Linked DNA regions of Schizosaccharomyces pombe. Each later gene encodes a partner of the first gene's protein in a complex. Each region holds a gene or a part of one and is shown in the gene's direction. Other genes may lie near its edges.

Region 1 (7,605 bases):
AGTAAACTTATTCAGTGTAAATATACTTATTTCTATTTTCGAATCCTAGCTCTGAACAAGTTCTTGTTCTTTGTGATAATTCCAACGTGTATTTAAAGCAGTATATAAAGGTCAAACACCATCAAATGAACAGTTTATCAAATCTCATGGAACCATTTATTAAACATTATACTTTTTGCTTAAATAAATATTCAAAGTGTTTTTTTTTTTTTTTTTTTTTTTTTTTTAATGCATATGGTAGGAATAGGCATTATTTATTAAATGGATTCGCAAATGGTTAATATTGTGCTAGGAGATATGTTGATTTCAATTGCAATATCTTTTACCTATATTTAAATGGCACTATGTAGAAAGCTGACAAGAGAATATTTTAACAAGCAATCCCGAATCATCAAAAATAAATTAAAATAATTTTAAAAAATAAAAAAAATAAATCGCAGAAGCACAAAGCATAATACTATTGATAAGTTCAATGTAATTTAATTTGGTTCATTACTATTTAAAACTAAATCCCCATCTTATAGTAATATAGAAATAAACAGAAAGTATATACAATTTCTCTACAGGATGAAAGAAAAAAAAACCCCCAGAAAATAAATGAGGGAAAAAAATAGGATATCAAATATTGATCGAGGAAATCACAAGCATTTCCTTCAGTGTAAGAAAAGCAAAATAGGGAAAATCGTAATTGTACATTGAAAGCATACATTTTTACAAAATTGTAAAATTTCTTTATTTAAATCGTTTCCAAAATGAACCGGAAATGTTATAAGCAAAAATATACTAAATAAATGAATTTAAAACTATTTCGGTACACTAAATAATCTCTTATAAATTTATTAAATTTAAATACATAATCTACTTAATACTAATCGTCTCAACGGAGGACAACGTGGCCGAGTGGTTTTAAGGCGTTCGCCTGCTATTCTGTAGCCCAGCGGATTCCCTTTGGGAGCGCAGGTTCGAATCCTGCCGTTGTCGGCATGATTTTTTTTATTTGTAAAATGAATATCGAAGAGCCTTAGAGAAATATGTTATAGGAATTTATCGAGGCAAATAATGAAATTCTAGTAAGAGAATAACCTGATGGTTAAAGCTTGTTTATTGATCTTCTTGCAGATTTTTTATTGTTTTCATGAGATGGATAATACTTTAAATGATTTATGTTCTATCTAAAGTAAAACTTGGCGAAATTTTAAGAAAACACCCATAAAGGTGTAACTATTAACTAAGAAGAGTTCGCAAGTCAGTGATTTATTTTTTTCAATTGTCCCGAGTGACTTAAGACACCGACTAGTACAATTTGTCAAATTTATTGTAAATCTATTTTTCTTTAACAAAAAGTGATTGCAAGCGCTTCTCGATCCTCAATGGATCAGTCGCTAACTGTGTGGAATAAGTACATTTCGCAAGTAAAAAAAATGGTAATTCTGACGTATCGAATGAAGGACATAACGTTAAACATAATTGAATACTAATTCTAAAATCTATATATGTTCTCTTTATTTAAACCGTACTACTAGATTGTTCCTCAATATCCCAAATAACACCTAATGGTTCTTTACCATTTACAACAATCAAGTGATTGTCGAAGAAACATTGCAAGTTGAGAAAAATGAATGAAGTAGAAATATTCTAATGTGCTAATGATTTATTGTAAAAATAAATCATATTATTTTATTTCTTTGACTTTCTTACATAGTCGAACACAGACAAATACAATTTTCGATTAACATTTCTAGAGTCTCACTTGATAGATTGTGCTTTACTTTATTTCATAAGTATTCCTATAGTACTCAAGCGTGCTTGGTATTATTATTGTAAACTTAATGACATTCTTGTTAGAACGACACCCCATTTGAACTTAGCAATAGTTTATAATTATGAAAAAAACAAAAACAAAAATTTTATTTTGATTCCCAAATTGTAAACAGACGCTTGAAACCCTTACATGTACCTGTGTCTGCTACCCATCTGTACATGAGTTGTATAGTAACGTCCAGGTTGTCCCATAACCAAACTCCTTGAACTTTGAAAGCGGCTCTTTATAGAGTCATTTTTTATTTCCTATAGTACTTGAAATAATATTATTCTCTAAAACTTTTCACTCAAAGAGCAGGACGTATTTGCTCCTTATATATGCGAAGGCGTTACTATTGACCTTTTTCATCGCCTTTGATCCACTTTTGGTTAAAGATTTTATCCTCCTTGCAAAGTTTTTTGTTTACTGTCTAAGCAATGCCATTTATCGAGTCAATGGCCCCTTTATCGCGCGCAATTACTCGCGGTATCTCTCAATTCTCATGCTACTCTAACACATTGGTTTTAAGAAGTTCCCGTAACTCTTCTTCATCATTAGTTAAACGAAGTTATGTATCCTCTCGTGTTTCACCCAAAAAGCCACAGCATAATTCGGATGCCACTTCTTCAGCTCAAAAAGTCGCTAATAAAACGCACACTAGTTCTGTCCTTCCAGGTACTATATTAAAGGGACTGTGTATAAAGGCGGGTGGCGTCGACCCTGTAGCTCGTGAAGATCATGAATATCCAGAATGGTTATGGTCTCTTCTGGATGAGCCAGCTCCCAATTCTAAGACTGCCCGAAGTCATGCTCGTAAAAGTGCCATTCGAGCGGCTAACTTTCTTACTAAAAAATAATTACCTTTTAGAATGTTTGAAACTCTTAATTTTCCATCTCCTCTCTATCCTTATGAGCATTTGATCCATTCTTTTTGTTTACTTTTTTTGAGGCATATGACATTCGCTACTTTACCATTTCCCAGAATCCAAAAATCATTTTAAAATAAAAATATATTAAATAACCTTATATCAGTGATATACATTTGTAGCATAAAAAAAATTACTACTACATGTCCTTCTTTAAGAGAAGCATATTCAAACCTCAACCTGCCAACCTTAGAGAAACCGGTATTGCCCAAACTGTGTATCGTTTATGGAATTTGGCTGACGAAAATGTATTCTAGAATTGTATTGAACGATGTTGAGAAAAAAGTTGTTAATCTTTTGAAAAAGACTGCTGATTTTATTGAATCTAAATCCAGCAGCAGTTCGTCATTGGAAGTTAGATTGGCAGGAGGATGGGTTCGCGATAAACTTCTTGGGCTTTCTAGTGACGATTTAGACGTTACGTTGAATAAAGTTACCGGTGTTGACTTTGCAAATTCAATATTTGAGTATGTTCACTCTCTCGACTCTGACTCAGTTATTCCATATAAAGACGCACTTGGCAAGCTAACTGTCAATCCCGATCAAAGCAAGCATTTAGAAACTGCTACCTTATCCCTATTTGACCTTGATATTGATTTTGTAGGACTTCGTGCAGAATCATATGATGATAAAAGTCGAATTCCTAGCGTTACCCCAGGAACTGTTGAAACAGATGCATTGAGAAGAGACTTCACGGTTAACACCCTATTCTTTAACATACGAACAGAAAAAATAGAGGACATTACAAAGCGAGGATATAAAGATTTGCAAACCAAAGTGTTGGTCACGCCCATTTCACCTCTCCAATCATTTTTGGAAGATCCCTTACGAATTTTGAGAGGCATTCGGTTTGCATCCAGATTTGAATTTACAATTGATCCGTCGGTCGTTTCCGCTATCCAAGATCCGAAAGTATGTAAAGCTTTTGAAAAAAAGGTTAGCAAGGAACGTGTAGGAGAGGAAATTGAGAAAATGTTGAAGGGTGCAAACGCGAAGCTAGCACTTCAACTGTTATATTCAACGAACACGTATCAGTTTACGTTCGATACTTTGCCAGCTGAAAAAGAATTTCAAATTCCAAAGGCATTGGAAGCTACCGAGTCTTTATTTCAGAGTCTTGCATTGACGTTTCCTAAACTTATGAAATTAAGTGAAGATGAGAAAATTGGGCTATGGCTATATGTTGCTCTAATTCCATGGTCTAGTCAAACTGTTATGGTTAAGAAAAAACAATTTTATATTCCTGCAATCATCGCAAAAGACAAGTTGAAGCTCAGAAGTACATATGTTAACCAGTTGAATCAGTGCTGCACATTCAATCCGATATTCGATGAATTAGTTAACGATACTTCCACTAAAAATTGCTCATCTATTGGCAGCTTAATACGACAATTGAATAAATCCTGGGAAGTCGTGTTTTTAACATCGGTCATATATAGTTGTTGTAAAACACCGGCAGCATCTGTATCAAATACATTTAGTTCTTATAAATCTCTATATGACTTTATTTATGACAAAAATTTACAAAATGCTTATAACATGAAGCCATTATTAGACGTATGTAATTCTTTTATTTCTGTTAACAATATTGAGCGAATAAGCTAACAATTTTTTAGGGAAAACAGATCATGAAAAATGTGGGAGTTAAGCCTGGCCCGCAGCTGAAAGAGACTATGGATAACATGATTTCCTGGCAATTTAAACACCCTGAAGGAAGTGTCGAAGATTGTGTTGCATACCTTCAATCCCTAAAAATATAAGAAAAGACAATCACTGTTTAGATAACTTAATCGCACAAAAGATTAAAAGAATAAAAGTCACCAGTAATCGTCGTCCTTTTTGGAAATTCGTATTTATGATATTTATGCTTAATTCAGAATGGATCCTTTCCTCTTATTATTACCAATCTCTAACCGGCTCTCGATAATCGTATTCGCTGGTGCTTGGTGTAATTTCGGTACAGTCTGGATAACAGTAGTTCAATTTGACATAGCATCTTGTGTTTTCATTATCATTATTAAAAAAACGAGTTCCACAAGCGGAACATTGCAAATTTAATTGATCAAATTCATCAATGATTTCGTTGCCTGTGCGTGCTGGATAATCACCTTCGCACTCATAAATGGCAGTGCAAGAACTAGCTGTATAAGAAGAATATCCATGGTAGATCAAGGATCTATTATACTTCATGTACGCGTTCGGACACGCACGATTTTCTCCTCGAAGCATAGGGCAAAGAAATGAGCCCTTACAGTTATTAGGATGAACCGAATTATCATATCCAAGCATGTTAAATAAACTTCTTCGATAGTTTGAAGTAATTCGAGAGCCTTTTGCTTCTGGCTCAAAGACAGTACTAAGATCACTTCTAATTGGGACTGCAATGCATATGTAAATGCAGATTCCGTATATGAATAGGAACAAAGTTAATTTCTCTGTTACACAACAAAATTTCCACATTCCTTCCGAAATATTAATATATATTAAATATGCAAAAGTGTTTAAAGCAATGCTTCTTATTTGCAATTATTCTTAATTAATTAATATTTTTCTTTTGGTTAAGGAAAGAATATGTAATATAAACAGTATTCTTTTAGTTGGTGTCAATATTTTTGTTTGTTTTTAAGATCGTAAACAGAGCTTTACAAACCCCAAAGCAAGGTGTCTTCATCTAGTGAAGCATCCGAGTCATTATTAGATAAATTGCTAGATTCTTTAACAGAAAAGTTATTTTTTTTAGTTTCAAACCTTTTTTGTTTCAAACGACGGATAAGATCCCTCGACTCACCCAATTTGCTTTCTTCTTCATAAAGAATATCATAAACTTCTGGTTCTAAATCATTATCTGCAATTTCATTTTCTTCATCCTTTTCGGCCAATAACTGTTGCTGTTGGAGTGTTATTTCTTGTTCAACAGCATTTTCCTCAATAATGCCAATCTCATTTTGAAAATCGTTCCACTCTTCTTCAATTAGTTCTTTATTTTTAGCAATAGATTCATCAAAAAAGTTTTCTGGAAGTGCGGACACCGCTCGTGTATCCTTAGGAGGTTCTGTAGATTGCTTTTCATTAAAATCACTTACTGCCAGCTCACGAGATTGATCACGACCTAAATTTTCAAATGATTTATGATCTCTCGTCTTCTGACGCTTCAGTTCTTGACTAGAGGCTTTCAGACCTCGCTTTTGCCCTAATCGCTCTTGTTTTACTTTCCTCAGTAACTCTCGTGCACTACTCATATTTTTGAAGCTCCTTTTCTAACAATATTCACATTTAATCGTAAAATATTGCATTCGAACTATAAAATAGCATGTATCCTTAGTTTTCGCAGATTTTGCACCTTTGCTATAACAAACTACAACACTGCTGCCACTTGCCAATAACCCATACCTGCCAACACCTTGTTTTTTAGAACTCTTGACGAGCTTTTGTGAGGATATTAAACACTTCAGGAACGACTTTTGTTTAGTTATGCATATATTTTAATCTCCTCAGTTTATTTAGTACGCATTCAATCACTTGTTATTCGAATTGCATGTATTAACCTTGAAGTACAGATGTCATTGATCAAAATACTTTTTATTCCCATAATAACGAAGCATGGTAAGAAAAAGCACTAGAAGGACGGCAAAAGCCTCAGAAAAACCTCCTGAAACTGTTGTTCGGTGTGTTTGTAAATCGCAAGAAGACATTGGCGATACGTGGGTTCAATGTGATGGGTGTGATTGCTGGCAACATGCCAGTTGCGTTGGATTAGCGGATAAGGATATACCTGAAAGCTACTATTGTGAAGTTTGTCATTCGCGAAGCGACGTTTCATCACAAGTACAAAATTCTCCCAATAAGGATGAAGAGCATCAGACAGCTGATTTACTTGCCTCTAATGAAGGGAACGAGAAAAACAATGAAGAAAATAATGTTGTATCTTCTGATTCAAAAGAGGCGATTACTAAAGAGTCAGGCGCTGAACTAGAATCATCCGAGCCTGCTTCGACAAATTCTAATGTTGGAATGACTACTAGGTCTGGTCGACAATCTCCTAGGACTCCTATTGGCTCCACGACACCAAAAAGTTCTCATTCTCCACCTTCAACTCGAAAACGAAGAGGCAGTGTTGGTACGACGGCTACTCATACCAAACGTAGCAAGAATGCACCAAAAACATCTCCTAAGGATGCTTCCAATGAAACTGCAGATCAGGAAAAGGAGCTTAGTTTACACACTTCTATCGATGAAATTCAAAACCCTGTTAGAAAAAGTGTTGCCAAAGCCTGGGTTTCCGTTTTTGAAAAAATCATTGAGAAAGCAAAACTTGAAGGTGTGCAAGGATTAGAAGACCTTAATTCTACATCCTTAGCGCTTCAGCTTGAGCATATTATGTTTATGGTGCTTTCGTATACAACTGATCATTCGTTAACTCCGAACAACAAATATCGAGAGAAGTTTCGTGCTTTACGATTCAACTTGGTTGATGACAAAAACCCGGCATTTCGAGCGCGCGTGTTAAAAAATGAAATTAGTTTTAACGATCTGGTCAACTTATCCAGTGAAGAAATGGCTAATCCTGACTTGAAGAACCTAGCTGAGGAAATTCGTCAACAAAGTACTGAAAACACAGTCATAAAGCAACATTTGATTGCTCCACGAGATCGTTTACTTGATGAAGATAAACTTACACAACAAGATGAACTTGGTATTGCGGAAAACGATGATGCGATGTTTCCCAAACCTCCTGGAGAGCTTGTAGCTCCAATTTCAATTGCAGAAGAAGAGCCCACAATTGATTCCAAAAGTCCTACTTTACCGGAACATAATCCTCTTTCTGAAGACGATACATCTAATGGTGATAAAGCTGCAAAAAGAAAAGGGAGTTTTAAC
Region 2 (7,767 bases), on another chromosome or scaffold:
AAGCATTTGTGCCAAACGAGATATAAAGTGGGTTTAGTCCATTGTGATCCATGGCATATTTCAATTCTTTTGACTCAGGCATAAAGGGAGCAGCGAGAAGAGCATGTGTGATTTGTTTGACACACGCGACATCTTCGGCAGAAGAGCTTAACGCCTGTAGCGCAATCCTCCTCCTAATATTCGATTTGGAAAGCAAAAGGGAGACATTTCCTACACGAATTGTTGCAGGAGAATTGTCATCGACTAATCTTCTCAAAGAATAAAGCTCATTGAGCAGCTTTTTTTGCAAATTGGAGATGATCTGCACATGTGGAGCGGTCGACGACCTGCGTATCGCCAACACAGAGCGCTTCCATGTTTTTATTCCAAATCTTAGCATAATTTCTCTGAGCCTATGAAAAACTAATCACAACAAAGGATCGCATATGAACCACACTAGATTCGAAAGCCAAAAAGGAACGAGATTACCGGATTTTAGATAGTATTAGTTAAAGTTCCAAATACACAATAAAACATTTACTAATAAGTTAATAATTCTTAAAACAAATACTATAGTGAATAATTGTTGTCTGATGGCACCCGAAGGTTGTATAGTAGTTGTGTCTATTGAGTAGTGTCGTAGATGTTATATCAAAATACCTTAACCCAGCAGTATAATATTCTTGGAAAATCATTGGATATTGTTAACCCTTAAATCTGTATATGTTTATTTATTTGTTCAGTCAAACAATCATAAAAACAAAAAAACAAAGAATTTTGCATTTTGTTAATTTAGACGAATTCATTGTTCATAAACAGTGACAAAATCCGAGGTTTATACAAGTATTTGAAGAAAACGGTATTCGACAGAATGAAGCTTTAAGTCTAAAATGGATTAGAAGGAACTGAAATGAGCTACATAAATTGCTCTTAATATTGGAGAACTGCTAACATTTATAACCTTTTTAATGATTACACTAAATCTTCACCTATTGCTTTTCACTTACTTTAATGGTCATTCGATTCAAACTTATTTTATCTAAATCTATTACCTTTTGCCAGTAAAATACTGTATAGTTAGTTAGCAAAGAATATAGGCGAGTAAAGCTCTAAACTATCATACTTCTAAAATCAAAGAAAACCAAAGAAAAAAGCAGATGAAAGAATTTAGTAACATCTGGATTTTGAGTAATAAACTGATTGACCTAACTTATTGACAGGTTGTGCGATATCAGTTGGTTTGCCAAAAACAACAATAATTGAAAATTTATGAATGGATTCACCAGAATATTAGCCTAATTGCTTTTTGATTCATTTAAGGAAATTCAACTTTTAATTTGAAATCAGCGAAAGCCGAAAAAAGGATGGTATGAATTTGAAATATTTTTTAATGCGAGCAGGTAATATTGACTTTAATAATAAAATAAAATAAAATGTCATTATAAATGCGATTTGAGGATTTAGTAGAGATATGGATAAAACAGATATGAACCAAACTGCATGAATATTAGGAAATCAAGTTGTAAATATAAAACAAGCATTTTTAAAAAAAAACAAAAAATATTACTCTAAAAATGTTAAGAGGTCAATTTAAGGTTTGTTTACTCTCATTTGTTATGGTGGTAATAGTTTCAGTCATGCATCATCGAAATGTAAACAAACAGCGATCCTATATATACCAAAAACAACAACCATTCCTTTCCATCACACATCTTTTTTGAGATAAAATGAACAATTCAAAACTCTCTGTCCCCGGACAGTATGAAGATGAAAGCAGTACTATATATGTAGGAAATATAGATTCCCGACTTTCTGATGAAGAAATCATCAAACACTTTTCAAAATATGGTATGAACACACAAGTCAAGGATAAAAACACGAGGAAAAACATTAGAAAACATAAATAAAAGCGATATATTAATCAATTCTTTAGGACAAGTAGAATCCATCTTTCGTCGATTACTTGATAGTTTTTATCCTAAGGAAAAAGCGAAACCTTTTAAACCTCCTAAAAATGGAGTGCAATATGGGTTCGTCAAATTCGTTAATGCTGAAAGCATTGAAGAAGTTCTAAAGGACGCTAAAGGAATGACTCTGGGCCAAAGAAAATTGTAAGTGACTGAAGGGAAAAATTAGAGACAAGCATTACAGAAAAAAAAATCGAAAAATCATTCTCCAAAAAATTACTAACCTAAAAAAAAGGACCATTAAAGCAAGAGTCGTAAATCCTGCGAAACTGACAGACAAAAAATTCAAACCTAACGATACGTCAATCACTGCGAACGTGTTCAATCCTAGCATCCAAAACAATACAGATGAGGAAAACGTTAAGCCAGGACTCAAACAGTCTCAGATTAAGGAATTTATTCCAAATGTCGAAGAAAGAAATTGGGAAACTGTGAGAGGCATAAATTCGCGTAACCCGAAGCCAGAAACAACGCTTACCATACCGTCTCTTGGTTTGGAAGATATTAGCATGCAAGTTGTACCAAATGCCTTCGCTTCTACGTTACCCCTTAGTATCTTGAACCTACCTGCCGAAGTCACACCGATTGACTTATATAACCACTTTAAACAGGCTGGTGTAGTAAAAGGGACGGCGGTCAGCCAGTTTCTTGACCAAAGAGGGTTCCGGTATGGCGAAGTGATTATGGATTCAGTTGAATCATGTCAAAATGTAAGCTCAATATGAAGAGAAAACCCCAATATTTGCATAATCTATTTCATGATACTAACCTCATTATTAAGGCAATAGAAAAATTAAATAACGTTCCATACAAAGGAAGCATTTTAGAGGTCAGTATAAAAAATAAAGCCTCTTCTTCAGTGAAGTCAATTCCCACAACGCCGACTGGTGAAAGCTTATGGCCTTTCCCATCGGAAAACGCTAACAAAACTCAAATAAATATCGAAAATGCTACATGTTCGAAGATGACATGGATTATGGGCTCACCAACTAAGGAGAAAAGCCAATGGGGTAGCGTTTCAACTACCGGTGTTTCAAATCAGCAAAATCATCCAGCCGCTTGGAACCCAGATAATAAACCTCAGTCAATCGTGCATTGGGACTCTTTACGTGAAAGCTCTCCAAGTATCCCTAATTCTCCTATTGACCCTTCAAATCTATACGTTAAAAATTTAGATGATACCGTCATCACATGCAAGAGTCAGCTGGAAGATTTATTCTCACCCTTCGGGTCGATTTTGTCTTCCATGTTAGCATGCTATCCAAATTCAGGAATCTCCAAAGGTTATGGTTTCGTAGCGTTTCGTCAAATAGAGGCTGCCGTTAGAGCCAAAGACACATTGAATGGAATGATGGTTGGGAAAAAAAGGATTTTCGTTTGCTTCGCGGAGCGAAAGTCTGACAGAATTCGTAGATTGCAAGCATTTTTTGCAAACAAACCTACTTCAGAACAAACAGCGCAGCAAGACAACAAAGCTTTGTTCGTCAAACCAGAAAGAAGCTCTACTGTTACCATCCGAAAGCCAATAGAGTCTTCTACAAACAAAATCTCTGAGAATCCCACGACCCTTTCAAGTAAGGTTGAAAATAAGAATGAGCCTAAGACTGGTGAAAACAAAGAACCCAGTCAGACAAATGAATATGTTAACTGTAAGCAAGAAAATAAGGAACTTAGTGGACAGTTATCAGGCAACTTGGATATAAAGAAAGAAGCAGGAAAATTGAGCCATGACGGAGAACAAGGAAACTTGTTAAAACCATTGGTATTCCATGCTAACACAAAACTAAATAACCGAGGGTCTGCTAAGATGGGTTCAACAGCCACCAACTTGAAGAAGATACAAGACATGCTTCACAACAAAAAGCTGAGTAATGCATACTTTGTGCCAAGAGCAAGAGCAACAACCTGTACAACTCTTACGTACGTAACAGTTGAGCCCTCACATTTCCAAGATGAGGACTGTAATGAGTCAACGAACATGCTTTCACTTGTCGGGTACATGGACAGCTATCCAGAAGCTACATCCAATATCCAAAAAATGAATTCCTATCATATTAAAGATTCAAATAAGGAAAATTTTTTATCAACAACAAAGGTTAACAACAATTCACCAACAACTATTCAGTTGACGCAGATTTAACAAGATGCGGTGAAGATATAACTATGAAACAAAATTCATAATGCTATATCCCTCAAAACTCCGATGAACAAACTTTTAACTCCTTAAAATATATACATCGTGAACGGATGGATTTGCTAGTATAACCCTACAGTATCTTACAACTACCACAACGTGGAATTTAAACGAAACCGTTTATTTTTAGTCTTTAATCAAAAACATTATAAGGAAATTTGATTTGAAAGATAATTCTTTATTAATTCGAAAGTTGACAGCTGGATCAGATTTGTTTAGAGATTTATGATTTTAGCAGGTTCATTGACTGACATCCAGTAGCTTGGTGACAGTTTGACGAACCAGATTAAAAACCATGAGTTCATTAATAGCGTTAGGTAAACGGCAAACATTATTGTCACATAATGAATTTTTAAATTTTAAAAATCAAAAGGGTTTCTGCAAAAGGTTTATTTCTCAACTAAACAAGAAATCCAATTTTCCCGCTCTTGCGATGACAGTTCCTGAAGCCACAAAATATCTCAAATCTGTGAGCATTTCTGTTCCATATGTTGGGTCTTATATGCTTTCAATTGCTTTAAAAAGTAATCGACGCGCTCCGTCAGCTCGTGGTCAAATTGCCTTTCCTCATCCATTTCAAGAGCCTCCTAAAATTTGTGTGTTTGCTAAAGGTGCAGCTGCAGATGAAGCTTTAAAATTGGGTGCAACCTATGTTGGTGCAGAAGACTTAGTAAAAAAAATTCAAACAGAGCCCCTTGAATTTTCAAAGTGCTTTGCTCATCCCAACTCGGCAGAATTACTACCACAAGTTGCTAAATTATTAGGATCAAAACGTCTTATGCCTTCAATAAAACGAGGTACTATATCAGATGAATTGAAGCCACTCATTGAATCTGCCCTCACAGCTGTTGACTATCGGCAAAATGATGCAGGCTCGATAAATTTGCCGGTTGGAAAACTAGGGTTCAGCGACAAGGAGCTACAAGAAAACATCGAAGCACTTGTATCAAATGTTCGGTTTACTTTGGCCAAACTGCCTGGAAAAGTTAAAGTTACCGTAAAGCATGTTCATCTTTCCGCCTCACATGCTATTGCAATTCCTCTCCAGTATAAATAATGATTAAAATGTTATTGCATGGGAAATTTAGTCTACAGTCTTGTCATTTGTAATATGTATTACATGATTAATTTTGTACAAATTAGTGAAATGTGTAATGATATTTTATCTAGTAAATTTAGAAGCCTGTTTATATTTATTTATTATCATAAACTACTTTTTAAAAAGTATGAATGAAACGTTAGAATACAACATTATGAAAGTTACTCTGTGCGATGCCATTTCAGAACAGGCGATTCCGGAGAATCAAATCTGTTATCACAAGCTGAGGTATCTACGTTTTCAGCCGTAACCCACTGGTGATTTGGATCAAAAAATAAGGACATAGGGTTTCCCATACTCGCGTTTTCAACATCATTATCTGAGGAAAAAGTGTCCGGATGTAGAGATTGGCAAGTACAAAGAGCCTGGTAACATGAATCAACATCAGTAACATATAATGTTAGTTCTAAAAAATCATCTGTGAATTCATTTTCATCTTCGGTAGAAGGAGCTTCATGCAATGTTCCTGACGACCGTTCAAATTTAAGAATGTGATCTAGCAAGGGTCGAATGGCTTCACCCTCTAATTGAACATATACATATGGCTTATCCTTGCTTTGTTTCGCATGAAGAGTAATGGTTTCATATGGAATTTTCCAGCCAGAATTCTGTTCTTCATCAAAAAGGATAAAGCTCTGTGAAGTTACTAATAAAGTTATCAATTTGCCCAAAGGAAAACTTTCCTCATCACTTCTAATTTTATAGGGGACTGTTTTTTCTTCAAAATAAACGATTTCTTGATTTGGCAACAACTTTTCACCATTTTCAACTTTGCGAATTAGGTCCTTTGGAAGTGAGTCAATTTTGGTAATCATAATTACTTCTTGCTTCCAATAGGTATTTAAGCATAAAAATTATTAAAAAACAGTAATAAGGCCACCTCTACCTGATAATTTATTGAAAGAAAAGGTTTACTGTGCGTTGTATTCTTTTGAAGTACTCAAATACAATATCTTCGCATATTAAGCATTTCGCAAAATCGAAAATATATTTCTACTCTTAACCACACGAATTTTTTATAAATTGAACCATTATGCCAAACAGGATATCGATTTTACTCAAATACTTTTGATATGCAATTTTCGTAAATGACAAGCTAGTTATTCATTGCAATTACAAAACAAACTCATGAATATAAATAGTTTTGTGGAAAAAATAAAGGAAAGGTCTAAGGTCTTTATGAAGTAATCCTCGTTACCCAAAAAATTGGGACTCAAAACTTTTGAAATTGGATTTTTTATTTTATATAGTAAACAGATTTATAAGTGTAGCGAAATAAAGCTAAGAATTTTTTAGCAACCAATTCATTGCTATATAAGGTTATACATTGATTTGGATACATGTAATGAATTAGCATCAGTGGATCGTTTCTCTCATAAAGGTGGGTCTTTCTAAAGTATACGAGATTGACTTTCAAACACCAACTTTCCAAATCAAACTTCGAAAGACTTTTTTAAAGCTAGTGACAAGGTTGGAGCAGAAGATTCTCCAAGCCAGTTTTTAGTTAATTAATAGAATGAAAACAAATCGAAAAGTTCAAAAATCAAAATTAGCAAGGCAAGATTCTGGTCATCAGTATATAATTAAATGATGGCAGTATGTGGATGCAAATCCTCCAAGATAATTTTTTAGTGAACAATTTAATCAATAAATTTTCAAAGTAAGATACCATAACATGCATGCAGGGTTTTCTTCAAATATTTTTTAGGACAAAAGTATACTTTAATTTACGCATTGAATTTAAGAATCACTTGTTGCGTAAACTGGAATCGTGGTTGACACTACTTGGCAGCTGTAAATACAGCAAATCGAGTTTGTCAAGTATAGATTTTGTGGCATTCTCCATTGAGTTAGAACTGTTTTCAGGAGATGCAACTTTCATGATATTTCCATGTTGTTTGTACACTTTAGAGGTTGTAAATAAAGAGGGAGTAGCCATTAAACCTTTTTCATCAAATGACAAAGTATAAAGCCAAACAAGACTTTGAAACCAATTATTCATAGGGACACTCCAAATAAAGTAGCGAAAATTGGGAACTCGAGGATGTACATCATTTAGCACAGAGTTAGCTAATAGTTTAACAGCTTCGTCAGTAGTTGATAATTCTTCATTCATTTTCTTGTATACAGGTAGAGAAAACTGAGATATAATGGCTAGAATAGAATCCAATTCAAGTCTTGAATGCCAAGAATTAAACCACGAGTTGGAAGGTGCAAACAAATTTGAGTCAATTTCTAAATCTTTTCCAAACGGATTGGATGCACATTTTTTAATAAGTTCTGAACTAGAAACATTTTCCGGTATTTTCCCACGCAACTTTCTAGACAGAACCAATGGAGAATCTGAGAATACATCTTGAAGGACTGTCGGGACAGAAATCGAAACATTTCTACTCGAAATATGTGATAAGCCACCGCGTGAACTACTGCTACTAAAAGGGGAGGAAAATTTATCTAATTCATCGAAAGGTGAATCATCTTCAACGGTAGCAACTTTTTTAAAGTCAGTATTTTGGAGTGGTGTTCCA
Region 3 (7,625 bases), on another chromosome or scaffold:
CTTTAGTTTTCTAAAATCCAATTGTTTAAGTCTAGCAGACACTCCAGAAAGCTAACATAATTCATTTACGACCCTTGATAACAATGTACAAGAAGCTCTGACTAAAATTTTTCAAAGTGAAATGCTAAAGTACGATGTTGTTTGTTACGCTATCTGTTCTATGTTTTACATGGAAACAATAAATGGATTAATTCTTGCACATTTACTAGTGGACAATAAATGGTTCAGATTCAACATTACTATATCACACTTGTATTGCTCGGCAACCTTCAATAACTTCTATTTAAAAATAACTAGCAAGATCTAAACTGGCTCTAGAGTATTCTCGAAGATAACACTTTGTGGATTCCGTTTTGAGTCCAGACGTTCTGTTAACAACATATCCATACGTAAATTGTTAAGTTATTTGTTGGCGAAGACGAGTACTATAAACGAATTTTGAGAAGCTTGGTATAAGTAAATGTTAGACTGTCGAAGTAATACGCCCTATATGTGTTCATGCCAAAAGAAATCAATAATATAGTTGACAATTTGAAATGCAGTGTATAATTTAAGGCAGTAAGAGACGAAAGTAAAGAGGGAAAAGGAAAATCATGTACTGTTATCACTTTATTCTTCGTTGATTTTCTTCTTCTTTATAATCCCACTATATTTGGTGGATTCATAAACTCGGTTGGTCCATGTTTATTTTAATTGATTTTCGTTAGCTATCTTAAAAGAAATTGGGCGGAAGATGCATCATAATGTTTAAACCAGTTTAGTCTGATCAGACACTAGTAAAAACGAGAAAACAATACTTATCTACCAATGAGTTTTCAGGCATCTATAAATATCGTTCTAATAAAAATCGAAAAAACAATCACAACTAACAAGAAAATCTTTTAAGAATTCTCAATCTTTATAACAGTCAATTTTCTTAAATCTAAGCTAATGCTCGCGAAATTCTTTGGTAGCTCTGAGTTAATAAATCAGAAAGACAAAACAAATCATTCAGGTTGAGTACATTTATACAGTAAGATTCCAACCAAAGCTTCCATATATGATATCTTTTGTAAACTTAAGGAAAGAAATAACGAAGCGGAATGTAAACATTTATTAAGTGTTTATACGTTCCAATACGTTAGATCTTATTATAGCGATTATAATATCAATTTCATATCTATCGCCGTATCGTTAATGTGATATAACAATAGGTTGCGATAAGGAAGAGGTTACACGGTCATATAGCCATACTCTCAAAAGATTAGATAAATTAAATTTTAAGTAGTACTACCTCCTTTTTGCGTTGGTTGAAAACTTGAAAAACTGACTCTGTTTTAACAATTCTGAATGGCTTCTTCACAAAAACTTTGGGGCGGTAGATTTACTGGCGCCACTGATCCCTTGATGACAGCTTATAATGAGTCTATTCATTATGACAAGCGCATGTTCAATGCCGACATTGATGGCTCGAAAGCTTATGCTAAGGCATTAGAACAACGCGGAATCATTAGTGCTGATGAATTGGATAAAATGTTAGATGGTTTAGAGGCTGTCCGAGATGAATGGAAGACAAATAAATTCACTCTTCAACCTTCTGACGAAGATATCCATACTGCTAACGAGCGCAGATTGGGAGAAATAATTGGTACAGGCATTGCTGGTAAGCTTCATACAGGAAGAAGTCGCAACGATCAAGTTACGACCGATATGCGCCTTTGGCTACGTGATGAGTTGGACATCATCCAAAAATCTTTAGTTGGGTTACTCCAAGTTTTTGTTGCTCGTGCAGAGTCTGACCTTGATATCATTATGCCCGGTTACACTCATTTGCAAAGAGCCCAGCCTATTCGCTGGTCCCATTTCTTATTGTCTCATGCCTTTTCTATATTAAATGACTTGGATCGCTTGAAACAAATTTATTCTAGAGTCAACCGACTCCCTTTAGGCGCTGGTGCACTTGCTGGTAATCCTTTCGCCGTAGATCGTAAGTTCTTACAAAAGGAACTTGGTTTTGAAGGGGTTATTATGAATTCAATGAATGCTGTAGCTGACCGCGATTATGTTATTGAATTTATGTTCTGGGCTAGTATGGTAATGACCCATATTTCCCGTTTGGCAGAGGATCTTATTATATATTCTACTTCTGAGTTCAACTTCGTTACCCTTTCCGATGCTTATTCAACTGGAAGTAGTATTATGCCTCAAAAAAAAAATCCCGATTCTTTAGAACTTCTTCGTGGAAAGTCTGGCCGAGTTTTTGGCAACATGATGGGCTTTATGGTTTCGGTTAAAGGGATTCCTTCAACATATAACAAAGACCTCCAAGAAGATAAAGAACCGCTTTTCGATTCTTCCAAAACTGTTTTGGATTCCATTCAAATTCTAACCGGAGTTCTTTCTACTTTAACTGTAAATCCAGAAAATATTGCTAAGAGCTTGACTGCGGACATGCTAGCGACTGATTTGGCAGAATACCTTGTGCGTAAAGGTGTTCCCTTTCGTGAAACTCATCATATTTCCGGGTCCGCTGTCCGAATGGCCGAGGAAAGAAACACTACCATTGATAAGCTAAGTGTTGAAGATTTTAAATCGCTACACCCATTATATGAAGAAGATGTTGCAGATGTTTTCAACTATGAATCCAGTGTGGAGAAGCGTTGTGCGATTGGTGGTACCGCTAAGAGTTGTGTATTAGAACAAATCCAAACCATTAAAAAGGCCTTGGAGTAGATAAGTTTACATGAAATGATATGGATATACTTACTTTTTCTATATGTTCGTTTGATCATTTAACAGGGCTTCCTCAACATAATTCCCCGAATCGAGGTTTTTTGGTGTAAAACGGGCAAATAAATAATTGTAGCCTCATAATAATATTTTAAAAACACGTAACTTAAATCTTAAATCGTAAATATTCATACTGAATGAAGTAGTACTTTTAACCTTTCGTCTTTCTCCTTTTAACATTATCATCATCGTCAGATTCCCCTAACTCGTGAATATCTGCTGTATCGTCTTTTGATAATACAAGCCCGAAACCTGCATCAACAATTTGTCCGTCTTTTCCTTTCTTTCGCTCTTCTTCTTCTTTGCGTTCCTGAACTTTGGCAAGTCGATGAATTTGAGACATAAAATTCGTAGGTTTAAGATCGCTATATTGATTTGTATCAAAGACTTTCTTATGATAAGGCGCATCCAATTCATGATGACCTTTAAGCTGAAAAGCATCCTTCGCCTTCAACTCAGCAGGCTCTTTATCATTTTCATGAAAAGGATCATATTCTCCAACCTCCTCGAAAATATCGAGCTTCAAATCAACTGGTGGAAGTGGTATATCATGCTTAACAAAGCTTTTCCCTAAGCTATTAGCGTTCACGTTTAATTTCTCGGTTCTATGTTCATTTTCTAAACGTTCATTATCATTTTTTAACTTTTTTTCCTTCTTCACAAGCCGTTTTAGGATTTCACCATTTTCATCAAGCAAATATTTAACTTTTTTTCCATTTTCCAAAATTTTACGATATTTCGGTTGTCCATTAGGATAAAGAGGTATCTTCTTTTTTTCTTCTAGAATAGAAACAGATTCAGGATGTGATGACTCCTCAGCAACTTTCTCTAAAAGCTTGTCTGCTTCTTCGTCAACTTCTTTCTCACTCGAAGAAAGCAGAGAATCATCCAAGGCTAGCTCATTAGAGCGAACTTTTTCAAGCAATTTTCGATCAAGACCACGCACGAGATGAGTTGTATTCAAATCTCCGCCTAATTCTTTAGATTTTTCTGAATATTCTTTTGTCGTAATTTGGCCATTGCGAAGTTTCTCGTGCAATTTGTGCAACTCAATATCCTGTTTGGAAGAAGGCTCTTCATAAAATTGAGTATCTTTCCCTGAATTTTTTGCATTAGAATGTCTCGTAATGTCTGACGATGTAGAATGACTTAGTTGTTTTCTTTTAATTAGGGCTCTGGGTGCTTCCAATTTGGCCGTCTTATGTTTACGACCAAAAACAAGTCGCTGACTTTTATTCGATGAGAAATTTTTTAACTGGGAGGTTTCGGCTTTTGGAGTAGCTAAAAGCTTTCTGAAATCATCTTGGTTCATTGTGACAAATTTTCAACCAAAACTTCAGTATCCTTTCAATTAATTGTTTCTTTGGAATAACTTTGTAGTAGTTGTTTATATACACTTAACAGTAAAACACAAAATAAATTGTAAATTATTGAAACAGTTTGATAACATTAGCATACCTTGACGTTCGTACACTGTGATCTCAAGCGTAGTGCGCTATTTTACTACTTCGTAATCGGCCAATGTTTTTTAAAAACAACCTATATTCTAGTTGCAGAAAACAGATATCTTTTCTTTCGAAAAGTTGATTTTCCATACAAGGGTTTGAGGAACTTGAAGCTCTTTCTAAGATTTTATGCCATCCGTATGTTAACAAGACATTGTAATCGTTTAGGACTTCAAATTGAAAATAAATTTGTGTTCAGATCATCATCATGGAATTGTGTCCGTCGAATTGGGAAAATTGCGTGTAATGAAAATAAGTACAGATATGAAATGACATCTACAGAAGAAGACATTGACAGCTTTTTCAGTCGTGTTTTTGGTGAAAAAAATTACATCTCAGACAAATCTCTAAGAGAACAAATTGTAACTCATAAATCTTATAAACATGGGCTGAAAAGATATAATGAACCTTTCGTTTCGGTTGGAAATGCAGTTATCGATGTTTGCTTACTTAATCATTATTTGGAATCAGGAAACTTTAGCACAATACCTTCATACAAGGATTTAGTAAATCTTCGTTCCCCTGCTCGACTCGCTGAAGTTGCAAAAAAATGGAATCCTGAAACTGCCACACAATGTATTTTGCCATTAAAAGGGCCTAATTCTCCATCTTCGTCTAGTTTTGAAAAGATATACAGTAGTATTGTTTCCGGACTTGTTGCTGTCGTTTACTTCCAAAAAGGCGGAGTTGAGGCTATGAATTTTTGTAAGAAAAGCATCATATCAGATTTGACAAAAGATTTCGTGAGACCTAATACCGTGCATAATCAATAAGATGTGTAGCAGCAGGATAAAATTCTTTATGCAAAGGATGCCATAATATAGTACATTTTGCCATACGCTTATTATTACTATCGATTTATTTAACGCCTCTTTCATTCAGTCAGTAGTTAATAATATATTTCATATTTATCAACATTTGTATAATATAAGCTGCATCCCAAAATCTTATTGATCGAGTTGTAAGTCATTGGCATCCATTCACAAACTACGTTTTTTAAGCTCCCTTATCTTTTTCAGCATATCTGCTAAACACTGTTTTGAAACCAAACCGTCACGCATATTCTCCTCGTATATTAGATAATGGATATTTCGTGCCCATTGGTAGAGTCTACGACCTTGTTGCAGCTGGCGTCTGACTTGTCCGATGGTAGAAGGAAAAATTGCAAAAGGGATATTTAATTGGACCAAAACTGTTTTCAACATGTTGGCTGTTTCAACACTACACTGTTGATCTATATGCTGAAGGCCTAGCCGATAATAAAGTTGTTTTTCCTTAGCCAGATTAAATCTAGAATCAGGCATATTTAAGGAAGTAAGAGGCTGTGAGGTATGGAAAGTAGGGATGGTAGATGAAGCAGGTGTTGAGTAGCTTTTGTTCTTTTCGATCATTAACTCACTTTCATCTGACAATTTTGCATCAAGATTATTGGTATTAATAACATTTCTTATATCATTTTTTGCAGGGGCTGTAGACCCGTCATTCAGCATAGTATTCTCCTTATTATTTCCTTTGTCAGTAGTCTTTGTGGTTATTGCATTTTTTGAGCTTTCATTTGATTCTTGATCTCCATTTTGAGAAGTATGCCGAAGAATTTGTATCTCTTTACGGGCTTGGGTAAGTTCCTTACGCAAGTGCTCAAATTGCAAAAGAATAGCATCAAGTGTTGATAGCTGAACTCGTATTTCACTTGGAACCGCAATTTGAGATTTTTCATTATACCTTCCGTTGCCTTTAAGGTTAAAATCATTGCTAATAGTAGCAGATCGTACCTGCTTCGTATCAGGTTTTTGCTCTTTAAAGTCTTTTGTGCTTTTAGGGAATCGTTTTGGAGGACAAAGTGGAGTAGAAACAGTTGTTGACATTGTTGTGGGACAATAATCCTGCTGATTCATAAGCAATTGCTTGGTTATATTTTCAATCTGTTTATCTCTTTGTTGGCATTGATTTGATAAGGATTGTATTGTGGCATTCATCTCCAAAACAATATTAACAAAAGAAGGAGGTAAATCGGTAATGGCTTGTTTAAAAGGATCGATGTCTTGATCATTCGACGACATCTGTTTATTATTAGAAAGATTTTCCTGAGCCTTTTGACAATCCGTAGATTGGATAGGTTGACTAATAGAAGAAACACATGTAGATGAAGTAAGAGGATAGCCAGAAGGCGGTACTGGATATGACTCTGGTACAGTTTCCAAATGAACATTCCGATTTTGAAGCTCCGGCTGTGAGAAATGTTGTTGTGGATAACCTGAACTCAAAGAAAAATTAGGCTCAGGATTATATTGATTAGGGCGAGTGACTGGGGGTGGTACGTTACGGCTTGGTGGAACCTGTAAACTTTTTTTAGTCTCTTTAGATTGCTGATTAAACACTTCAGGGTCCAATCCATCTTGTTGATTAGGAACACTAATATTATCTCGTAGCTGTCCTTTTGGACTTTGGTCATAAGAGCTGGTGTGTGATTGAGAAGGTGGAAATGAAGGTGAATTGGAGTGCATATGACGAGCACTAGGTGAATCAATCACTTTCGGGGCGACATTCTTGTAAGGTGTACTAGTATAAGATGCTTTCTCCGAGTTAAACGAAGGCTCATGATGTCTTTGAGCATTTTGACTATTATCACCAAGTTGATGACGCGGATCCAGAAATAAGTTGTTTGAACCTGGTATTTGCTCTAAAGGAAGTCTTGTAGAGTCATTGGGGTTCGAAATTTCTTTTTTGGTGTTTTCTTTAATCGTAGTACTATTTACGCCATTAACAAGCTCACTTATTTGTTCATCGTTAAGTCCATCCAACAATTCAGCTATTCGATCAATTCTAGCGGTACGAGACGGATCTGCATCTACATAATATTAGTTACATTTTCAGTTGACAGACTTTTCGAAAAAGTATATGGACGTTACAGGTGAATACCCTTCAAGCCAAAATGTATGTCATAAACCAATTTCCCTCTTAAAATAGAAAACATTTAGTTCATCTACAGATGGAAGAAGACGGCATGAGTGTAATTACCCAGTGTTTTCAAAAGTTCACAATACAAGTTGACATTAAACTTTACCTACCTTCGTCAAGGGAGTCAAAGTATATACTGTCACCCGCAGATGGATGACTATCAAAATGAGAATGACCTAACCATCGGTAATCTGTACTCAAACTATCACCAAAAGCCTCATCCATTCTAAAACATGATTAAAAGGTTTAGTTTGTGAGTAGCTGACTTAAAACTAATATTGTTACCCAAGAGTGTAAGTCACATGCTCGAAATGTAAATAAACACCAGATAATAACAAAAAGTTGTTAACTAATTATGAGTATATAAATCATTCAAATGTATCATTAATTCTT
Region 4 (7,297 bases), on another chromosome or scaffold:
GTCGGTCAAATTAGACTTCTTGCTGTTTACATGAGAGAAACGTGAATTGTAGTTGTTTATTTTGACAATTGCGGCTGAAACGATTTCATCTACCCTTCTAGAATATTTCTTTGACCAATTTGCAAAAGGATTTATTACCAATATATTTAATTGCTCCCCAAGCTTCTTGTGCAACGACGCTTCCTATTGTAAATATTAGCGATAATGACCATAAGAGTAACGATTGAAAGTATACCATTAAATAGCTTTCATAAAGCTGGTGTATGGCTGCATCAGAAGGAAGATCATTGCTTTCTTCATTTAAAGGATGGTGCTTATTGAATTTTGAAAACGATTTGAACAGCAAGTCAGAACAAGATGAAGCTGACTTTGCTCTAATATGTAACAACTGTAATACTAAACGTATTGTTAAATCATTAGTTATTACAAGAAGAAGAATTCATGTGCATACGCTTTTCGTTTTGTTCAACACCTTCGTTGATTAAACGTTGGGCACGATTTATTCCCGTAATATAATCCCTTGACCAGAACGAATTTGAAAAGCCGTCCCACATATCTTTTTGATAAAAATGTCTGATGTACAATACACTTAAGTATATCTATGTACTTCTGTTGAGTGCCAGCTAATTAATAGATTAAAGGTAGTTACAAAAGAGTTCTCTTTTAATCTAAAAACGTTAGTTTAAAAAATATTACAGATAAATCAGTAAATTGACATTGAGGATTAGAATTCTCCTACAACTCCAAATAATCCAAGAAGGACTGAAGGAAAAACTTCTTCAAAAAATCACTTACAAAGAAAGCGGTATTAAATATTATTCACAGTGATTAATATGTAATTTTGGTTTTGTAAAGAGTCATGTAGATGTTGGTATTTAAGTGGGTTCGTCGCGACGAGATGTAAACAAACCAAATTACATAGTGCAGTACAAAGCATCGTAAACTGTAATGAATGGCACAAATACTGAAGACAATAGTAAACAAATACTCATACAGACAATGTACACGTACGATTCGTCGGGAGAGACACTGAAAATAGCAATAGCATGGAAGATAATTTTAAAAAAACCGAAAGGAAAAAATATCAAAGACTACATAGAAGCATTGCGGAAAGGAATTGAGGATCAGGAACATTGCGAAAAATACGCGTCAACATTATTGGAACCGCGCCCAAAGACGAAAAAAGATGTTGTTTTGAAAAATAGTAATGTTACAGAGTGTGTGGCTTTAAAAGCCAAACCGTTCTCTAAAAAAATCGAGGATATGGGTAAGTACTTGCACGATGCTTATTAAATCCATCAATACTAGGCCGGTATATCTTCTTATATCTAAAGCATTAGTTATATTAAAGAAAGCCTTTTTGATCTAAAATAGTATGAATTTTCTTTCGTTAACAATCCAATCTAGATATCTTTTTGCTGACCAATGTTCACGAGAATCTTCAGGAAAAGAGGCAAACATCCGGAAGCCTTGCGCATCTGGATATTGAGTACACGTTTAATGGACTTTTTCGATTCTTAAAATGCACTGCTGACATAAAGTTGAAGCAAACAAAAGTATACGAGGGTGCGGATTTTTTGCGCATTAAAACTTTATTCGAAGAAATTTTTATGTTTCTTAAAAGAGATTGTAAGTCGCCGTTGGTTTTAACAAGACTAGTTGAATTGGGAGATTATGTACTGGATCTCATTATAATCACGCAGTCGATTATGCAAAACAATGCCAACAATGGAACTGGAGTGATTTCCAGAGCGAAATTTTTGGAATTTTACGTATTTTTGGAGCAACTGATATTTAACAAGCTCTCATTCGCTTCCGTAGAGCAATTGGAAAAATTACTAGATCAAATTGTTAAACGGATGAAAATATGCTTCACATATTGCAAAAACGATAACCCATCTATCCGGTTGTTATATAGTGAATGTTTTTTTTCGTACGCTGAGATATACTTCCCTTGTCTACACTCCTTCGATGCTCAGCTTTCATCTGCCGCAAGCAAATGTGTCCAAATCTTAAGAGACATAATCACAAATGAAGAATTACAAACTGATAAACAAGAGTTGTCTAAGAGTGCCTACTCTGCTCCATCCATCCTTTTGATTGGCCTCAAAGATATGCTATTTCCCGAAGACATTTCCTAATAGTAATATATTGAGGGCCACTATTTAACACACATTCATTTCTTGCCTTTCCAATTTGACTCCTTTTGTTATCCTAAAATATTCACAACATTTGGTGGAATTTTTCTGGAAATTCAATGTACAAAGAACGTTGTGGTGAAAGTGTTGATCATCATATCCATTCGATGAACTTTGATATTATGTTCCCTTTTAAATCTTGGGCATAAGGGAAAGGTTTTCTGCTTTTAAAAATTGATGGATAAAAGAAACAAAGGAACAAAAAAAGCGAATATATAGTGGCCAATTTGTATTATTTTCAAGTACAGAAGTGCTTTCCAAATTCGTTTACAAGAAACTTTGGAATTTCAATCAACAAGCTATGTTTCTTCTTTTCCAATAAAGCGCATTTAATACAACGCGTTGACAACAAGATTATTGATCAAGTAAAGGAAATTTATCGCACAAGCCTTCATTCATAATCCGCGATTTGATCTATACGCATTGCTATCCTATTCCTTACGAGGGATAAATCGAAGGAAGTGATAATGGATAAAACCACACAAGCTCCAGAGAATTGAAGGTTTTTCAGCTATAGACCTAACTAGAAGAACAGGGATACTTACAGGGCTTATTAATATTCAACATTAAAGAGCGTCTTATCGATTCCTTGTCAACTTGATATCACCAACAGTTCTATGCACTACTAACTTTATGTCACACTGCGTTACATGTCATTATAAATAATTCCTTTAGTATTTCTTATATTCTCCACTAATTGGAGTCATCGAGAGATGACCGGACTTTTCCTACAATAATTTTTACTTTTATTTATGTTTTAAAATACTCAAAATAAGCATGATTGAGCTTTTTTTGCTTACTCTCAACATGTGTCAGTAGGAATCCGTACATGATCTGATATGATAATTTTACTGGCATCAGAAACTCTATAACCACACACAGCTTACTTGAACGGGCCTCATTTGATGGAATCATAGAAGCAATCACAACTAAAAACGATAATGATTGAAAGCGTTTGAATGCTACGTTGGCGGAACACAATCACACATACTGTCAGCCTTCAATAATTAAATAACGCAACCCAACAAAGATGCCTAAGGTAGAGGGACTAATGCGAGAGGAAGCCATCTACGCAGTATGTAAAATATTTTAAGGAGTTTGTATAGTTGCTAATTTAACAACGATATACATAATAACGAAATATGTTAGTGATTTTTATATTTGTATAAAATAATACCCTGGATAATTTTGTATTTATTAACTATAGTACTGCTACACCGTAATATTATATTAATTAGTATATCCATTGGAACTAAATTGAGTAACTAAGAATTAGTCCGACCTAATAAACGCTAATAGTCAATAAATTGGCTTAGAATTGTCTGAGATAATAAACTCTTTTAATATTTCAAACGATGAAAAGTTTCGATTAAGAACTCAAGAATGAACAGTAATGATTGATTTAACGTAATATAGCGCAGTTAAACGTTTGCCGACATCTTAGGTCAATGTATTTTCTAATACTAATAGTGCTTGACTCACTGTCTTTTTGAGCTTCTCTATAGATTAAAGAGGTTTTAACCTTATCATGCCAGTCTTTACCAAGGAAGCTTTGGAACGGCTTCCTATCCAATTAGGAAACTTTTTTAAAAAGTTTCCGCCTGAAAATCCAAATGCATGGACGACAAATCCAAATCGTCAAAATCCGTTTCTCGCAACTCGAAATCCTCAGAATGGCCTTGTAATCAACCCTTACTATTCCAATAGAAGGCAAGCTGAAATATATAAAGAGGCCAGGCTTCAGAATCTGGATAATTTACTCCCCCAACAAATGTCATGGCAGAAAGATTCTACACGCCATATTTTGAAAGGTCTTCTGAATCCTAAAGGAAAAATTAGTGAACGAAAGAGGGATGAGATTTTGGAAAATAGGCGTTTAAAACTTTCGGAATCATTGAAGAAAACTTCTAAATTTAAAAATGAGCGCGTATGTAAACTGTTGTACTTTCATGATTTTCTTATTTCTATCTACTGATTTTGATTGTGAAAAATTTACTATTATTATTTTTTTAATTGTCTTTATTAACACTCTTTTTAGCAAAAAGCTAGCAAAATAGCGAAACCTTCTCCTTTCTAAATTCTTCTTCTGCAAAGTGGGTTTCACGTAATACTGTTAATACCTTTTGATTCCTGTTTGTTTATGACTTCCTTAAATTTTTTTAAAGATTCATTTAAATTTACTGCTATATTACCTCAATTATGTGTTTACTAAAAGTCTTTTATTGTGCAGCATGATAAAAAGACTAATATACTAGTCTATACATTTTTGTAATCTTTACTAATAATATGATTCTACTTTAATAGTTAAATTACATTTAAATATTAGGTTTTGAATCTGCAGACTTAGGATTTTAGAATGTGATTTATTCGTAACTTTTCATTATGAAGTATCTTGTTATCTTTAATTTTTAGGAAGAGCGCATTTAAATATAAAAAAAATATTTAGCACTTTCTCAAAACTCATTACTTGTGAATGAGTAAGTAAGTCATTATATGATTTATGTAACTTTCTAAGCTTATTAGTGCATTTCAAAGCCGACGGAAATTCGTCAAAGTGATTTTAAGATTTTGGGGCATTAAAAAAAAAGATGGACAGTCGAGTAATTTTTTTTTCATCGGAAATTGGGAAAATGCAACTTCAAACAGCATTTTCAACGTCTTCTTCTCCTTCTTCATCTTCTTCACCTTCAAACATTAATTCATTGAAAGACTTAATCAATGGACTAGGAGAATAATCTTGAGCATCTTCCTCGTCAATCCCCTCGAATTCTTGATATCCGAATTTCGTATTTTTGGGTGTTTTGGGCGACTTGGATGTGCTTTTATTAGTATCGTCTTCTTCTTCATCGCTAAGTTCAAGCAAAGGAGATCTCCAAAAATTCACATCAGTAAAGCTTGAGACTTCATCTCGGGTGCTAACCTCGATGGGAGGGAAGAAATGATCGACAAGCTCATTCATGTAAACATAACTACTTCGGTGACCGCTTCGCTGCAACAGTTCAATATGGACTTCGCCAGCAGAATTAATGGTAAAAATCCTAGTTGGTGGAACTCTGACATGGTTATAAGATATTGCGTCTGTAATACGATTGCCAAAGCCGGCGTAAAATGGTGTTCGAGGAACAGGTAAGGCGAAAATATTACAAAGATCACGCAAACAAGCCATTTTAAATACTTCTGGCTTCCTTAAAATTACTTCTCTATGAAGAGCAGCCATAGTGCGATCAGGTGATAAAATAACAGGACCATCGGGTAGAGAGTATCCGTTCTGTTCAATATTCCGGAGATAATGTCGAGTAGAATCGGCTTGGCCTACCGAACGACTAGTTAAATACATAATTTTGTAGCCGTTGTTAGTGATATCGGTATACAATTTGGCAACTCCAGCATGAGTCCAATCCTTGCCGATCAAGGTAAACATATGCCCTAGAGCATCAGATTTGGTAATTGTTCCATCAATGTCCGATATAACGACAGGATCGTTGTGTTTCCAAAAAAAAAGATTAGCAGTGCAAATGGCCTTACCCCCGTTGACTCCAAAGGAAAGCTCATTTTTACCGGGCTTCAAATTTAATGAACGAAGCTGATCAGAGGTTAAACGAAGGGTTTTAGCATATTGAGGATATGACTCGGAAACTGGGCTCAAAGACTGTTCAGATAAAGAGTGTCGACGGCTTAAATCAGAGTCCTCATCCATTAAAGCCGAATCGGACTTTGGAGACGCAGGAGTGCGAGATGGACTTGCAGGAGGACTGTGTCCATAGACCTCCGCAAACTTTTTGGCATCTTCAGAAGCGTGAAACCACAGATTACCTTCTTCATCTTCACGCAGAAGCTTTTCAATCATGGGAAATTCATCCTTGAATGTTTCCCGTGCCAACTCTGCAATGTTTATATTCGCAGCAGAAGATTTATAACCTGTCATGTCAAGCATCACATCACCATTATCCCCAACACGTGTAGGAAGTTCTTTCCCAGAAAGCCTTTTCCCCAATTCCTTTGCCTTTTGTAACAATCGTAAGTCTGCTAGCGTTGTTGCAGGCATCGACGGAGTTCTATCACTTCCAGCCATTTCCAAACAACTCGAATGTCGAAGGTGCTTAAAGCCGGTTGGAGGTGTTTGATCGGCATCGGATTTCGAACGGCGAATTAAATCTCGAGTAAGAGGGAACTCGTAACCGTCCTCCATCAAATAGGTATTCGATTGATCTTTCTCATGATCCTGAGATACTTTATCGAGCTCGAGATCTTGAGGCTCAGTGACATTCTAAAGCAAGACTGTTAGTAATTTTCGTGATTGAGATAAACTAAAAGCCGAAAGTAGTTGTGCAGAATTCTGATACCGTATTCATTAAAATATTGCACATAACTGTTTTCCACCGGACAAGTCAGCCCCAGTTTACTTTTGTACATACAATGGATGGTGTTTGCTTTGGCGAAGTGGTAGGCGACACAATGGGAGATGTTTGAAGTTCTCGTGGAACTGCATTCTCAGTAGCAAATACAAAGAACGCTTCACCTCCATCCCCAAGTTTCATATTAAACCCAGTCAATTGACCATTGACCGAAAATTCAACCTTTTTGTCTGAGGGCAAAAGCAAGCTAAACTTTCCAAAGCGAACATGAAAAGGTGAACATGCTAATGTTTTATCCTCTTGCTCAACCACAATCACGTCAATGGCTCCAGAGAGAGTCGACTATTTACGAACACTGTTAGCATATTTGTTCAATTGTTTAACCCATCATTTCTAATTATTGAGAACTTACTGGATTAATTGCATTCCACGTCTTCGTAACAGAGTCAAACGCTCGTCCTACATATTGCATCGTGCAGCAGCTACGAACAGAGGTAAATGGGATGACTAGCATACCATTATGAGCAAAAGCGTGGGAGGAAGGGCGAGGCAACATCTATGGTCCCTGCGGTCTGTTACGTTATTTGACCTTACAGTCCCATACTATAACAAAAGTAAGCAATGTAAACAAACCACCGAACTTCATAACACTGAACTTGGAAAAAGCGACATTTTTCTTTTCTTTTATATAGATATATAATTTGTTTAGAAAAAATAGAGATTTTTTTATGAAATTTGGATTTT

Evidence for each region.
Region 2: mrpl37 (region 1) and mrpl1 share a complex: the UniProt entries of both Schizosaccharomyces pombe proteins name them as parts of the mitochondrial large ribosomal subunit.
Region 3: mrpl37 (region 1) and mrpl15 share a complex: the UniProt entries of both Schizosaccharomyces pombe proteins name them as parts of the mitochondrial large ribosomal subunit.
Region 4: mrpl37 (region 1) and mrpl25 share a complex: the UniProt entries of both Schizosaccharomyces pombe proteins name them as parts of the mitochondrial large ribosomal subunit.

The regions. Positions count from the first base shown.
Region 1 is NC_003421.2:1,252,307-1,259,911, forward strand, and holds mrpl37 (mitochondrial 54S ribosomal protein mL54), read left to right. Parts: upstream 1-2,011; 5' UTR 2,012-2,238; coding exon 2,239-2,658; 3' UTR 2,659-2,920; downstream 2,921-7,605. Other genes in the region: cca2 (ATP/CTP tRNA nucleotidyltransferase), read left to right, coding at 2,974-4,284, 4,344-4,487; protein mug117, read right to left, coding at 4,627-5,187; SPOM_SPCC645.12C (uncharacterized protein), read right to left, coding at 5,370-5,966; bye1 (transcription elongation regulator), read left to right, coding at 6,328-7,605. UniProt on the Schizosaccharomyces pombe protein: Component of the mitochondrial ribosome (mitoribosome), a dedicated translation machinery responsible for the synthesis of mitochondrial genome-encoded proteins, including at least some of the essential transmembrane subunits of the mitochondrial respiratory chain.
Region 2 is NC_003424.3:1,788,912-1,796,678, reverse strand, and holds mrpl1 (mitochondrial 54S ribosomal protein uL1m), read left to right. Parts: upstream 1-4,227; 5' UTR 4,228-4,435; coding exon 4,436-5,197; 3' UTR 5,198-5,279; downstream 5,280-7,767. Other genes in the region: protein Mmc1, read right to left, coding at 1-379; poly(A)-binding protein Crp79, read left to right, coding at 1,707-1,827, 1,913-2,090, 2,182-2,656, 2,728-4,086; protein saf5, read right to left, coding at 5,401-6,054; ftp105 (Ubp5 interacting protein Ftp10), read right to left, coding at 6,987-7,767. UniProt on the Schizosaccharomyces pombe protein: Component of the mitochondrial ribosome (mitoribosome), a dedicated translation machinery responsible for the synthesis of mitochondrial genome-encoded proteins, including at least some of the essential transmembrane subunits of the mitochondrial respiratory chain.
Region 3 is NC_003423.3:4,360,472-4,368,096, reverse strand, and holds mrpl15 (mitochondrial 54S ribosomal protein mL57), read left to right. Parts: upstream 1-4,305; 5' UTR 4,306-4,414; coding exon 4,415-5,047; 3' UTR 5,048-5,215; downstream 5,216-7,625. Other genes in the region: arg41 (argininosuccinate lyase), read left to right, coding at 1,330-2,712; SPOM_SPBC1539.02 (uncharacterized protein), read right to left, coding at 2,921-4,081; SIN component scaffold protein Sid4, read right to left, coding at 5,255-7,122, 7,343-7,457. UniProt on the Schizosaccharomyces pombe protein: Component of the mitochondrial ribosome (mitoribosome), a dedicated translation machinery responsible for the synthesis of mitochondrial genome-encoded proteins, including at least some of the essential transmembrane subunits of the mitochondrial respiratory chain.
Region 4 is NC_003424.3:4,990,874-4,998,170, reverse strand, and holds mrpl25 (mitochondrial 54S ribosomal protein mL59), read left to right. Parts: upstream 1-3,663; 5' UTR 3,664-3,726; coding exon 3,727-4,125; intron 4,126-4,236; coding exon 4,237-4,275; 3' UTR 4,276-4,547; downstream 4,548-7,297. Other genes in the region: rga9 (RhoGAP family GTPase-activator protein), read right to left, coding at 1-183, 236-396, 452-554; meiotic recombination protein Rec24, read left to right, coding at 1,000-1,267, 1,408-2,141; lipin, phosphatidate phosphatase Ned1, read right to left, coding at 4,837-6,465, 6,614-6,895, 6,966-7,025. UniProt on the Schizosaccharomyces pombe protein: Component of the mitochondrial ribosome (mitoribosome), a dedicated translation machinery responsible for the synthesis of mitochondrial genome-encoded proteins, including at least some of the essential transmembrane subunits of the mitochondrial respiratory chain.